Linked DNA regions of Lytechinus pictus. The protein of the gene in region 2 interacts with the protein of the main gene of each other region in a pairwise test. Links are inferred from orthologs where the notes say so. Each region holds a gene or a part of one and is shown on either strand. Other genes may lie near its edges.

Region 1 (8,144 bases), on a different chromosome or scaffold from region 2:
ATGGAGAGTAAGCCTACGTCAGTAAAATGACTTTTACTCTCCAGAAGCCCCGGGGGGGGGGGGGGGGACTCAGTATATAATGCATATAGTGGGTATTTGCTGCGGAGGGGACCCCCATTTTTACACTCAAATTTCTGTTCCAAGGCATAGCATTTTTGTCTTATTGAGAAAAAGAACAAAGAAAGCCGCTCCAAAGCATAGCATTTTCTTCTTATCGAGAAAAAAGAAGAAAAAAATCCGCTCCAAAGCTTCGCATATTTTCTGTTACGCCGTTCCGGCCGCATTGATCTGCTACAATGATCCGCAATTTTTGTGAAAAGCGGCCGCAGAGCGCTGTCCGACCATCGCCTCTGCGCTAGCGCACCCGGCGCCCGTGCCGCCGGGCTAGCTGCATGCACGTTCCATAGGGATGCACACGCACTCACATGCAGGCGACCCGTTCCAAGGACCCCCGTTTTCACAAACATTTGTAGTTCTGAAGCCCGTTCCGAGGACCCTACTTTTTACAAAAAGCCCGCTCCAAGGCCCCCGTTTTTTTGTCTCGCCAGCGGCACTTTCCTACTAATTTTTTGGTCGAGTATGGCAGTGTATCCTATTGCCGGACACCTTTATTTCAGTGCTTTAAAAATGACAACTAGAGGAAATACAATCAAGAAAAATTCACACTTGTTATTCCAAATATTATGAAAATTATGAATATGATAAAATTATTTTATATTTACCAACCATTTTCTTTGCATCGCACTTGCCGCATACCCCTCCACAAAAAACAATTATTTTTGTGCGCGACAAATTACATCATGATTCCGGACGCGCGCCGGACAGGTAAAGATATCCTTGATTATAATGATGTAAGAACAAATTTGTGTGATTTTTTTCTTCTTATATCATATCATGAGTAAATTCTAAGTTTTTATTTGCTTTTATTATATCGAATCTGAGCAGATGTTAGTAATAATTTCGTGTTTGATACCTTATTTTATTTTTTTTTGTTAGCTGCATGTTCCATGGCACTTTCCAATAACAATATGCTCGCGTTCGTATCGTGACGCTCATCAAGTCTTATCGATGCGCTGCCGATCCACGGCTCTACTCACGGTAAACCTCGCGCATGGGTACCTTGAGAACTAGCCGTCGACGATTACCCACAATACACCACACCTCATCATTCGATCTAAGGAGTGGACGAGATTGAAATTCGGCAAATCAGGCCCATATTTCCGTTAGAAAATATATCAATTGTTAATGCAAAAATTTCGCAAAACTATGATATTTTAAGCACTTTCTGTCATTTTAGAGATAAATAAGGTAAACTAAAAGTTGGATTTTTTCGCCTTGTTTTTGCAATCTTCATGATCTTGTTCTATGTATTGCTCTGTGAAATTGAATTGCGGAAGTACAAAATTGTTTTCGAACGCAGTAATATGCGCGTCCGGAATCATAATAGTGTCCGGTAATACAATACGCGACTATACCCCCCCCCCCCCCCCCCCCCCGCCAGTAGCCTCCAGGCTAGACAGCTGGCAGCCGTCTGTTTCGAGAAGTTTTTTAACTTTTTTTTTTTTTTTTTAATTTCTCCTCGTACACAGACGGCTCGCTAGCGTGCAGCCACCATTAGGGGACTTGCAATGCAAAATCCCCCCGTCGGGGCTCTTCAATTTTTGTCTTTAATGAATAAAAATTTTGAAAATTAACGCGACCAAAATGCAAATTAATATTCCCTCTTGGCATTAATTGCCAAAAAACTGAGAAAAATCAAGTTAAAAGGAACAAAAACAGTGACTTACCTCGGCTGTCGCGCAAATTCACTTCCCCGTTTTATCCGATCTTAAGTACATAAACATATGGCCATTGAGTCCCCTGTACAGATCGCCCTAGAACTTCGGTCTCTGTATTTGGTGAGTGAAGCCAACGGAGTTCAGCTGAACAACCAACATAACAGAGACCGAAGCTTTTGGTCTACCTCCAGGCCCGGGGGGGCCACTTACATTGACGAGTGGATACCATGCGCGACCAAAAAAACACGTAAAAAGGATGTCTTTTTCACGATAGGGCACGTTACGTACGTAACGTGATAAGGGTGTCAAAAACACAAAAATAATGAAAAAAGGGTATCTATTTCGCTAGGAAAATTACTTGTTTAGGGTCGAATTTGCGGGGATGATAAAACAAAATTAAAATGTTTAATAAAGGATGTCCTTTTTGCCCCAACACTTCGTGTTTAGAGTCCGATTTGCGCGAGGTGTAGAAGGTGGGGTCGTACTAAACCAAATAAGGTAAGACGAAGACCGAAGGACCCGTAACAATAAAACATTCCTGTACTTGTTTAGGGGTTCATTTCAGGAAATATTTGCCAAGAGTATCGTTTTATTTCCAATACTTGTTAAGGGTAGGGTTTAGACGCCCATAGTATATACTTGTTAAGGGGTGCATTTTCAGAATATGGAAATTACGTGTTTAGGGTGCTTTTCGAGACCACATGGTCGCGCATGGTATCCACTCGTGAATGGAAGTGGCCCCCCCGGGCCTCCAGGCTAGCTGCGACTCAAAGTCAAACCATACAAAAAGATACAGTAACTAACATAATAACGAACATATGGGACCATATACGTTCTTCCAGAGCTCCAGAAATATGACAAACTAAAACTTCCGACAATAAAAAAGAATTCTTGTATTCCAAGTATCATACATCGTAGTATGAAAGTAATACAATTTGTCCATTAAGTTACAAATTACTTACACCTTTTGAAGCCAGTGAAAATGGAGGTTCTAAATGACGGTCTTCTTGTCTCACAACTTTCCTTTCGATGATCGAATGATGATGAATCAAAATAAACACGACGTCATATCATGCTTGCCACTATCTCTGCACGTGGGTTCAGACGGGTGGGGGTGGAGTGGGCTCTTTATAAACTCTCCCCAAGCAGCCCCTTTGGACATCTAAAGGCGACCGCACACCTTACGATTGGTCTGCGACCCGATTTCAGAATAAATGTAGTAGAATTTGATGCTAATACTGAGACTTGGAATATCTTACTTTCTAATGTTCTAAATCATCGTACAAATACCTTTGTTCAATCTGTGACTATGCTATCATCCTTCTTAAAATAAAAGCGAATTTAATATCTAGTCGTAATGACGTCATCGCAGTCGTACGATTGGCTACGATTTCAAACTAATTTGGCCTTTACTCCAAAATAAAGGCTTGCAATCTTTCAAAATGGTTATATTAGCATTCTTTCAATTAATTTTAACCTTAAATAAAATGATATGTTCCATTCACATTTTCAGAAAATGAGCAAAATGCGATTTGTTCCAAAATCGGATCGCGAACAGTCGTAAGGTGTGCGGTGGCCTACACACACTCAGTATACTTCTTTCTCTATTTCCTTCTACCCACCCCCCCCCCTCCTTAAAGGGGAATCCAGCCTTGGCCATAAAATGTTGTGTTGGGAAGAAGAAAAATAAATTTAACAGAATGGTGAAAGTTTGAAAGAAATCGGACAAGCAATAAGAAAGTTATAGCTGCTTTAAAATTGAGATCACTAATACTATGTAGATTTCAAATTGGCAACTGAGTAAGTAAATTATGACAAGGGGCAAGGACAACTTTCCCATAGGCCATGTACTTTATTATCAGGGATTTGTGGTTTTCTCCTAAGTACCCATTTCCCTGGGGCAGTAATCTAACTACAACCCAGATAGTATATTGTTTTATGTCCTCATGAAAGAAAAATATAATTTGAAATAAAACTTTTGGAAAAAATGACATTTTAGCCATAATGTGTATTGGAGTACATGGAAGAGTAGTCCTTGCCTTACATCACTATGACATCCCATATGCGGCCAATTTGAAGTCTCCATGGGTATAGTGATTACCAATATTTACAATTTTTAAAAATTCACAACTTTCTTGTTGTTTGTCCAATATTGTTAAAACGTTCACCTATCAACTTATCTGATTTTTCTTTTCCTTATAAAAACAAGTTTTTGTTTGGGTTGGATTCCCCTTTAATAAGTCAGATTGTTTGACTCCTATTATGCATGCCAAGTCCTCTTAAAAAAAAAAAAAAAAAAAAAATCGTTAGGCCTATACCTCCTATACCTACATCTGTGTTCTCTCTTTTTTGCCAATGTGTTGTGTTTTTTTCATTCATCTCCCCCTCTCACATTCTTGACTTTACAATTATATGACGTACTAGGCCCCTCCCACAACAACGTCAAAACCTGCAGTCAGGCAATTTTCTAATTGGTACAAGCTGGATCTGGAGCCCCATTTCATAGAGTTAACTTTGTTGCCATCCCGGGTCGCCATTATGGCAACAGGGCTCAGCAGCCAATCAAAATCAAGGTTACCATGGTAGTTGCCATTATGGCAAAGTTACAACGGTTGTAAGTCCTTTATGAAACAGGCCCCTGTTCAAAACTAAAGAAAAATAATACTTGTGTAAATGATTTCATAATCATAAAAAAATATAGCTAAGCTTAGCGAAGCTGGAGAATAATTTTGACAAATACTCGACATATGTAGGGGCTCCTGGCCTTTAGACTGGTTTCTTGAAAAATTTCATCAGTGTGAGATTGGAAACATTCCACAGAAAATTTTGTTGATTATGTAACAACTTGTTTATGGGTCTCTCCTCCTCCTGCCTTCCAAAATATTCAAGTTTCATCTCTCATATAAGTTCTCTCACTATCATCGTCATTTCCATTCTTCTATATCTTCATGGGTCCCGTTTCATAAAGAGAATATATAACAAATGCTCATCTTTTATAAAGAATACACTATCAGCCAATCAGATTGAAGGATTTCAGTAGCTTTTAACTGTTAATGTAAGTTTACTTTACCACAAACACATTAAAGAAAATTATGAGACATTATGAAATATTGTTTTTGCGGTTTATTCATGTCACTATTAAAAGCAACAGATGCACATAAACACAAGTCCATATTACATTCATATTTTGTACTTTATATATCTATTTCATATTTTTGACAACAAAGATTTAAAAATTAAAATGGAGATAATAGATAAGACATGATTTGATTAAGATTCCATACAAAAATACTCATGATTTTGATGTAAAATGTCATCATAATTCGCTCACCAAAGATGAAAAGAGAGAAAGTTTTACCATGTTTGCCAGGATAGATCAAGGTTTAATAAGAAAAACTAGAGATTAAAAAAAAATAATGCTTCTTGAAAAAAAAAGAACCAACAAACCCTTGAAAGTAGTTTACCATACATGTGTACATATATTATCTTAACATTAGTCTGGGAAAAACAAACAATAAGTATCAATTTTATGAAGAAAACTGTGATATTGTAACAAAGGTACAAAACCTACCATAAGTGATTATTATTACTTAGGTTTAATCATCATTCAGATTGCTATAGTATGTATCTTCACATTCACTCAAACTGGTATTAATGTATTTCATTATAGTATCATTAATACTGTTTTAAAGTTTACGATCATGTAGTACATAAATACTTTTATTTAGAATGATTGATAGTGTGGAATGACCTATATTAAAAAAGAACATTGGTATGATGACCATAACACATCAATGGATATCCCCTTTTCATTTTTAAATGTATACCAAATTTTAGTTTTCAAAGATGGAATATCTAATTTACATACATTTCATGCTGAAATCAAAAGTAATAAAAAATGTCACCAATGACGAATAATACAGGAAAAGTGAACAGAATTTTCTATACAAAGAGTGAACAGCATTATGCTTCATCGTAAAACAACAAAAGATTGACGTGGAACATACATGTACTTTTTGCATAGCATAGCATTTTAAAAGGAATACCAATAAAAGATCATGTATTATTACCCTGGTATTATACTCAACATGTATTTGGACATACATAACAAGAGATCTATTATCAAATTTTCAGGAATATCATCCCCCGTGATCAAAGCTGGTATTGACTTATCTTATTCCTTTACCATCTCCACTCCCTGGGGAGCATTTTGCAACATTTATTCTTAAATAGGGACCACGAGATCTAATTTCAAAGCCATTAAATACCAAGCGATTCAATTCCCTGGGGAACATTTTGACCATTTTATCCTGAAAGGATCTCCACACTGAGCAAATCCAATATTATCCTCGAGAAAATAAATTATGGAGAAACAAGATTATAAAGACCACTCTGGGACAAAAGAAGACTTGTATTTATGTCAGATGGTATTTATGGGCAAAAGTATGGTTGCAAGAGAAACCATGTTAAAGAGAACTGTAAATGGTGACAATGTGACCATTAAATAAAGGTGACAGGTCGTCATTGGATGTAAAGAATATTTGATTGTATGTAATTATAGGCATCTTACCCTGACATAAAGAAAATAATCTTACTAGATATCTATTCATGTTGTTGTACCCATAATGTACATCTATTTAGTTTAATCTTTCTCTGTTTGGAAAAGTATGAGAACAATGTGTATATATCATCTTATATCACAAAAGAGTATAAAGCATTACTTTTTTATCAATGCATAAGAAATATATTGGTAAAAATAAAACCACAAACAATTTGGTGTACATGTTAATGTTCCACCTTCAAAGATGACAAACCTATTTTTCTATGATTTCCGAAAGATTTCTCTTAAATGAAAAAAAAAATTAATAACATCTATTCTTAAAATTTAGCCAATGTTCTATGAATAATACATGATCTATAAAAATGACATGATTTAATGCACTACTATTCCACAGTATAGCTGGTTAGATCTCAGAACAATTAAACAGTACCACTACTGTGTTAACTTTGATATCAGTACTTTCATACAATTATTCATTCAATTAAAAGAAAGGTGTCCACCCACCTCATGATAGGAAAAAAGGCCCATCATTTATAAGAATCATCAGAAACTAAAGGAAGCTATAGTTTTCTGGGATAAGTTGTAGATTCTCAGAGCGATATTTAAGATTACATTACATATTACATTATCTGGCCATCTAGCCAAGAAAATTATTGCTATGTAATCAAATATCTTCTTATAAAAAAGAAAGGAAATCTCAATATTCTGGGCAAGTGAGTTGGATTTTAGAGTAACAAGGTTGATTCTCATTTTGCTCATCATGATCAACAACAAAACATTTCACCATCTTTATTTGAAAGGAAAAATAACCTATCAGATTGTGAGACAACGAAACAGTTTTTAAAGTTGCATTGCAGAGATGACTCTGCAACTGTATTTTGATGTTTTATATTCTTGAATCTTATCTTGATATATAAAGACCAGAAGAATAAGTCTCTCTGTTCGAGTTTTGTCGCATAGAATCTACCACTTTCATTAACAAGCTGATCTAAAATGAAATATTTTGTGTTTTTCATTCCTCATTTGAATATTTAATACTCTTAAGAAAGCTGTGTAGCTCTATCAACTCACATCAGGAAGAAATGAGGGGGGAAGATACAATAGCTGAAACAAATATTCATAAAAATAATCCAACATAATTAAAATACTATTTGCGGTCTGAAACCAATTACCATGGAAGAAATATTTCAATTGAATTTCATCATTCAATTTTTTTTTTCTTTCCCTGAAGTGTCAAAAAAGCGAATCAGTGCTAAAAACCTGGATATTGAGTTGAATGCAACCCTCGTCCATGTTCATCTGATAACATACAGTAATTAAGTGTGTTTATGTATTATTTTTGCATGTATACATGTATACTGTTGTCAGTTAGAGTCTTCATGTTTTATCTCATAGAGGTAGAGATATGAGGGGATACACAACTTCAAGTAAAATTTTACAATGAAACTGTACACTGTGACTTTTATCACATTATGGTTAGGAAGCAAAGTATAAGAACAATAGACATCTCATATGACAAAGGAAACAGGTGACATTTCATAGAAACGTACAACTGTTGTAACTTTGACATTATTTAACTACCATGGTAACAAGGCTCAGCAGCCAATGACAATCAAGGTTATAATGCAAAGTTACAATACTTGCAAGTGTAATGGTAGAGGAAAAGAATAAAACTTAAAGGTCAAGTCCACCCCAGAAAAATGTTGATTTGAATCAATACAGAAAAATCAAACAAGAATAACATTGAAAATTTCATCAAAATCGGATGTAAAATAAGAAAGTTATGACATTTTAAAGTTTCGCTT
Region 2 (7,319 bases):
AAGAGCAAATCAGATTTTTTGTGAGAAGAAAACAAAATGTACCAGACCTGATTAAATCCAAGATGAACATACACCTGTATTATAAAATGTATTTTATGATAAAGAATATGTACTAGTATTAATGTCAATTTCAAGATTAAAAAAATGATATTAAAAAGTATTTTAAATTTTAATAGCAGTACCTGGAAACCAGTCTTTCATTATCGATTATGTACGAGTTATAAGGTAATCGGAATGTTTGTAAATCGCTTCTGAGATTTTTTTCATTCAAAATAAAGATCCTTGGTATAATCATCCTTTCATCAAATCTTGGATGTACTAAATCTTACGATCTTGCTTGCTGACAAATGTGGCTGTATCTAATTTCATTGTATTGTCTGCGCTGCTTGTGTACAAACGAAGATACATCATTCAAATCATGATTATGGCTGACCAAAATACTATGATGACATAATTTATTGATCGCGCCACATTCCTTCCACAGCCTCTTTGCTTTGTGATATGAAGAAGTGCCACTGTAGATTCATGGATTCATAGAGCTACATCATGTAACACAGATATCTGAATATTTACAAACTTGTTTTAAATGTGAGCCAGTGCCATCACTGAAGAAGTTGAGGGTTGGTGAAAGTCAGATACTTTGAAGCAATGTCATCAAAGATCTCATGAATTCACAAGTTGGAGTTTTATCATGCTCCAAACTGTCAGTGCAAACACCTAAGATAATCAATTATTGTTCAAACACAAATGATGCAGATTGTGATCTGAGTATGTTGCCAGATTTAGCTGCATCTTATCCTAATATTATGTGGCATACCGTTAATTCTCAGAAAAATATACCAGAACAAGAGCTGAACTTTCATCATTTACCAACTTCTAAAAATAGCTAGAATGACATGCAGATTCTAGGAGTTATTACATCCAGCTATCCTCAAGCAATTGAGACTGACCACAGTCTGTGACACTGAGCCTAATATTTTGTTTTTGTGAATGCTGCCTTTTGTCATATATTAGGTGTCATGTCCGTTACGCCATTTTTATGAAAATGAGAAGTGGTCAGGGAAAATGATTGCTACACATGGTAGGGGGTTTAATTCTAACATAGAATCTGAATCTGCAGTACCTTCAGACAAATTTCCTGTAAGCTGTGAAAACTTTAAGTGAAAAACGTAACGGACATGACACTGATAATGGTAAAGAAATCACATTAATCTGAAGATCGATTTCTCTAAAATTGATGAATGGCATGAAATATAACAATGATTTTCTGTTGATTTAAACATTAATCATCGATACAAAAGTTAAAAGAGACCTGTGGGACCTTATTTGCTTTTAGTAGAGACAGGAAAGATGAATTGTTTAAAAATAGCCACATTTTTTATATTTTGCAATTTATTATTTTATTTTTTTGATGATGGAAAAAAACACAAAATTTTATCAATATTGTGATTTTTCTATTGGAAATTGAAACTTTATAGATTACTTTTTAAGAAAATTTGACTGCTTAAGTGAAATCTGAAACTTCATTTTTTCTCGAAAGTGAACATTTTCCATGGAATTGCCCGTATGCCAAACAACGATGCGTTAGGTACCGGTAATGTTGTTAGATCTAACTTTAGCTTAGAAGTTAAGAGTAGACTCGAGATCTAGATGGCCTAGGCTAATGTTCCGTTTAATTTCGATCTGACATAGTCGAGATCTAATGTTAGATTTAGACTCTAATGGAGATTAAAGACTGCTAACATTGGACTAGATCTCGTCTAGATCTATTCAGACCCTAATTTGGTTCCTAAAATATCTAGACCTAGTACTAACGGTATGGACTGCTTTGATATTCGACTTCGAGACCTAACGTCAGCTGAAGGGCTAAGTTAGGGCCTAGATCTAGGCCTAACGTTAGCCTGGGGCCTAGAAAGGCTAGATCTAGGGCTTTTTAGGCCTAACTTGTTTAAGATCTAGACCTAGAATTTTTTTATATACTAGGCCCTAGGCTAGATCTAACATTTAATTTGGTTCATAAAATATATATGGACTGCTTTTATATTCGAGACACGGTTGTTTCTTTCGGCTCGCAGGTACCGCATCTGCCAGACCATGCCCTCGGGCATAGTCGCGTTGCGGTCCCCTTGAGCCTCTAGAAACAACCATGCCTCTCAAAGCACTCCATAATATAAAAGGGAAAAGATGGAAAATGTCAGTCATGCTTGAATTACTCACAAATCATAATGCTGGTTCCATTTTGGGTCGAGAGTTCCTTTGCAGTAGTCTGTAGAATGGCACTGCCCTGATCCATCAACCACTACCTTGGCAAAGGGATCCGGTAACCCTGCAGAAAAGAAAACAAGAATGCAAGAGAAAAAATATATATTGATATGTATTCAATAAATACAATAAAACATTTATTGAAGTAGTGTTTGTTCAGATTTCTGGTTTTCAAGTTTGACGAGCATATCTTAAAAAGGGTAATGGGGTATGAGTTTGGCAGTTTGTGGAGGGAAAGACCAAAATGTCATCGAAGGAGCAAAATGGAGAGAGCAAGAATGTTAGGTTGTGGATGGAGGATGCACAAATTCATGCAAAGTGGAAGGAAGATCAGGGTGATTGCAACAAGTGTGAGGTCAATCCACCCCCCCCCCCTCCTGTTCACAGAGACAAGAGTAAATTTAAAATGTTAGGACTTTGTATTAAAGCCTCTCAGAAAAGTCCACACTCATATTGTCCTGCTGCCATTAAAAGCAGTGAACTAAAAAATTGATCATTTACACATTGATTCTAAATTCTAAGAATTAAAAGAGAATAAAATTCAATGACAATAATATATCTGCTTTTGCATCATTATTTTCTTGAAATTAAATTCATACTGTAACTGGCACCAAACTAGGTTCTACATGTAGGACACAAGAACAATAAGGTTAGCACTACAGTTATACATGAAGCAGCATCTTCATGGTGTACATTCAAGAATGCAAACATATAACACAATTACTGCGGAGAAGGTACAAGCATGGAGCTATAAAACACATAGCTCCATGGTACAAGCAATTTTTCATCAATTCAGTTTCAGACATGCCAAATGTTGCACACCATACCGCTCAGTACAAAATAACTGATGGTCAATTTGAAGTGTTTACAAACTACATGTAGTACACAATGCCTGTACAAACCGAAAGCAGGCTTAGAACTACTGTATAAAGACATACAATGTCATACATGTACATTTTGACAATTACAGCATCTTTCCATAGTAATATGCCCAAAGTGCTGTACATTATAGAATAACAAAGAATAATTCTGCTCCCAAAGCACTTACAATAACTTAAAAAGGAAATATAACATCAATGAGTGATCGCTCTTGCTCTCAACCGATGTAAAATGAGCATCATTTCTGGTCATGAGATTGAACCATGGAAACAGCTGTCTCAAAGTGATTGGACTAAATGTACATATGTATGCACCCAAGGATTCATGCATACTGCAAGATTTGGGAATCAGAGAAAATGACTGAAATCTGCTGAGATTCAAACATGAATGGCACACAGAAATACATGAATGGGACTACACACAGATGTTATGGCCCCAAAATGTCAGCTGTTTTAGGTCACACCCTAAATATCGGGCATCTGAGAAGCAATCCTCTGCAGAGTACAAGTACCTCAGAACTTTGATGATATTCTTTCTAAAATATGATAATTGTCATTTCCCACAAGAGTTTCTCACTTTCCCTTTAACATAGCCGTCTGTCCCTTTCTTTTATTTATGACCCTGACAATGACCCATGAATCGTACTCCCAAAGCAGCCATTACAATGCCTATATTTTAAGTAGGTTTCAGTGAAAGTAGGACATATGCAGGCCAAACCAATACCATCAATGAAACGTAAAGTGAGAACAAGGCAATAGTACCTCCTTGGCAACAGTTAGCAAACATAAGTAATTGTCCAAGGTTTTACTTTGAAGGCCGAATAGACAATGATATATTCTGATTCACTTTGATTTCTGATATTTCCTGTAAAATCAAGTAATTCTTTTTAACCCATTAATGGATGAATTACACTTCCCTGAATCCAGTCTGCCAATAGGCCTATGCTGTTGCTACATCCGGCAAAAACGGTAGTCATGCATTCGATGAGATGCTTCACAAAACCATGAAGTCGTAATTTCTTATTTCATTTTAAACGTGTATGTAATCAAATCAACAATGATATGGGATGTCCGCAAACAGTTACTGGTATAATTATTTGAGAATCTGCTTCCTAGTTACATGTACCAAGATAGAGCATTCATTTAAAAGCAGCAATCATATTTTTAAAATGTTGATAAGTTTAAGAAATGAAAGGATGTGAAAGCCAATGAATGTTGAATGCGATGCTTTCGAGCTCTGAACTCTTTGTTTGAATGGTCCACAGAGAGTGGTGAAAAGGCTCATTATGTGAGCGGAAAATCCCAAATCAGATTATCAAGGCTATGGCTTGCATAAAGAACAATCAAGTATGTCAAGTATTACAGTATCTATTAAAACTTAATAAGTACCGGTAGACATAAAAAATTGTCAATAGCAATAAGACAGTTCAACTTCCGTGGCTTCTACATGGAGCATTTTAGAACAGATAGCATAGATGTACATGTATACAGTAGGCCTACATGTATATGTTTGAAGCAGAATACAGTTAATCTTGTAATGAGAATGGGGTCAACTCTAGAGGTACAGTACATGTACATGTATTTGAAGCAGAATACAGTTATTCTTGTAATGAGAATGGGTCGACTATAGAGGTTAGTGTGTCTCACACAATAAAAGTGACATACCTTGAAAGCAATACTCCTTTTTTTATATCTTAATGAGAATATGACTTTCTATATTATGTTCAAAGGAGAGGTTATAGAAAATGTTAACAACTTTAAGTATTTGGGTACTATAGTTGATAGTGAAATTTCATGGAAGGATCAGTGTCAGTCTCTATATACAAAGGCCCAACAACGATTATACTTTCTTCGGAAAATGAATTCTTTCAATGTTGATAGAATTTTGTTAAAGCTTTTCTACAAATCAGTGATAGAAAGTGTTATGCTTTTCAGTTGTGTTGTCTGGTTCGGAGGGTGCAGACAAGAAGACATGAAGAAATTGCAGAAAATAGCCAATTGTGCTGGGAAGATTACTGGAGAAGTGGCAAATGTGACCAATGAATGCGTTCAAGCAATCTTGAAACAGGCCTCACAGATCATACAAAATAAGGACCACCCCCTCCACTCATGTTATATTCAAATGCGATCTGGAAGGCGGTATAGATCAATGAGGGCTCGAACATCGCGTTTCCTTCATTCTTTTGTGCCGCTCTCCATTCGAAAATACAACGAACAACTTCAATCAAGCCTGTAATCTTGCCACTTCGTCAGTCACCTACTATATTCTCACACATGTATACAATTTACTAATATTACCCTGATACTATCGACTGAAATGAAAGCATTGAATGAGCAATTGTCTATCTATAATGATGATTATGATAATAATGATGAATGATAATGATGATAATGATAATTAATAATAATAATAATAACAATAATAATAATAATAATAATAATAATTAATAATGATAGGAAAATTATATTAATGATAATAGTAATAATAATATTAATAATAATGATAATGACAATGATAATAATGATATTGAAAATAAATAACAATAACAATAATTAAGAGCAAAGTTGTACCGATTTTGAGTGAAATTATTTTATATTATGTATTTTCCCCTTATTTGTATGACTGTATGTAGTTTGTTGTATTTCTTTGTATGTTTTTTTTTTCTGTATATCCTGTAATAATGATAATGATAATAGTAATGATTGATTATTGATAATTGTAATAATAGAAACAATATTAATAATAATAATAATAGTAATAATAATAATAATAATAATAATAATAATAATAATAATGATAATAACAATGACAATAACAATAATAATAATAATAATAATACAATTAATAATAATAATCATAATGATAATAATAAGATTGATAATAATAATAATGATAATTATATTAATAATAACGATGATTAAGAGTAAAATGTTACCGATTTGATTGAAATTATTTTGTATTATGTATTTTTCTTCAAATATGTGTGATGTATATATATTCTGTAGAATTCATCTTTACGCTTTGATTTTGTATATTTCTGTGTATATGTAAATGCCAACAAGAATATTTTCCTAAATGGACAGAATAAAATCAATTCTCAATTCTCAATTCTCAATATGACGAACAAGGTCTTTAATCTCACAAACATTGATATTTCAATCATTAATCCTTCTATATCAATGCTTGGCTAGACAGCTTGTCTTTGGATATGTGGGGTAAGAAGACAGCAATGCAGTCATAAAACCATCAAGTAATATTCTGAATGAGTTTACATTTGGGAGGGCAGGATTTTTTTCCTAATAGGAATATTACACTGAACAGGAAATATGGTCTGTGTTTACTCAGTACTTAAAAGAGCCTGAAATCTGATAAGGGATTAAAAAATTCAGGTACTTGTGTGGAGAGGGCCATGGCTCCATAACATGAGTTCAAGTCTGTCTTGTGATGCAGGGGTTTATGACCGCAACAATCTGTATTAAAGCAGGCCTCCATGTATACATATGTGCATATGATATGAACATGAAACAGATACAAAAGGGGAAGGGGAGTGGGTATAATTGGGACCGATGTATGTACCTTGTAAAAGGAGATCCCTAGTATCACTTTCCTTTGAAAACTATACCTACGAGCTTCACATACAAGTCGAGTAGGCTACATGTACCACTATTGCTACATCTCCACAAAACTTCTGTGTAACTTTTGAACATACATGTACATCCATACATCAAACATATGCATTGGGCCTGTAAAAAACGGAGAATTGTACGCTGTAGCAAAGGTACATGTATGGGCCTACTCTCTGCAGCAATGGAAAATAAGGGGGAAATTTTAAATGAGCTTTTAATAACTGGACAATCCTGAGATGACATAGCCTTTTAACAAGGCCTCGTGACTTGGCTCTATTCCTTGCCAAAGCAGTGGATGAAACTAGAATAGCGGACGTCGAAGAGAACTGGTGATACCCGAGTGAGTGCGAGAGCGAGCGACTTTAGTCGCGAGGCCTTTTGGAATCTGGTGAAGACGTGAATATATGAATTATTCATGAGCATGCTGATGCAGCCGATGCGCCAATCCGCACCGTCGGTGTCTATGACATCATGGGATGGGTTTGTTCGCTTCTGTGGCACAGGGTCACACGGGGTTCATTGATGCGAGCAATACGCTCGCTGATTGGCCGC

The links.
Region 1: the proteins of E3 ubiquitin-protein ligase SMURF2-like (region 2) and spartin-like interact in a two-hybrid assay, tested with the Homo sapiens proteins (2 studies listed by BioGRID and IntAct). The link is inferred for Lytechinus pictus from reciprocal best matches to the Homo sapiens genes SMURF2 and SPART.

What each region holds. Positions count from the first base shown.
Region 1 is NW_026974140.1:18,553,479-18,561,622, forward strand, and holds the start of spartin-like, read right to left. Parts: upstream 3,116-8,144; 5' UTR 2,743-3,115; intron 1-2,742. UniProt on the Homo sapiens protein: Lipophagy receptor that plays an important role in lipid droplet (LD) turnover in motor neurons.
Region 2 is NC_087254.1:29,867,097-29,874,415, forward strand, and holds the start of E3 ubiquitin-protein ligase SMURF2-like, read right to left. Parts: upstream 3,244-7,319; coding exon 3,231-3,243; intron 2,327-3,230; coding exon 2,218-2,326; intron 1-2,217. UniProt on the Homo sapiens protein: E3 ubiquitin-protein ligase which accepts ubiquitin from an E2 ubiquitin-conjugating enzyme in the form of a thioester and then directly transfers the ubiquitin to targeted substrates.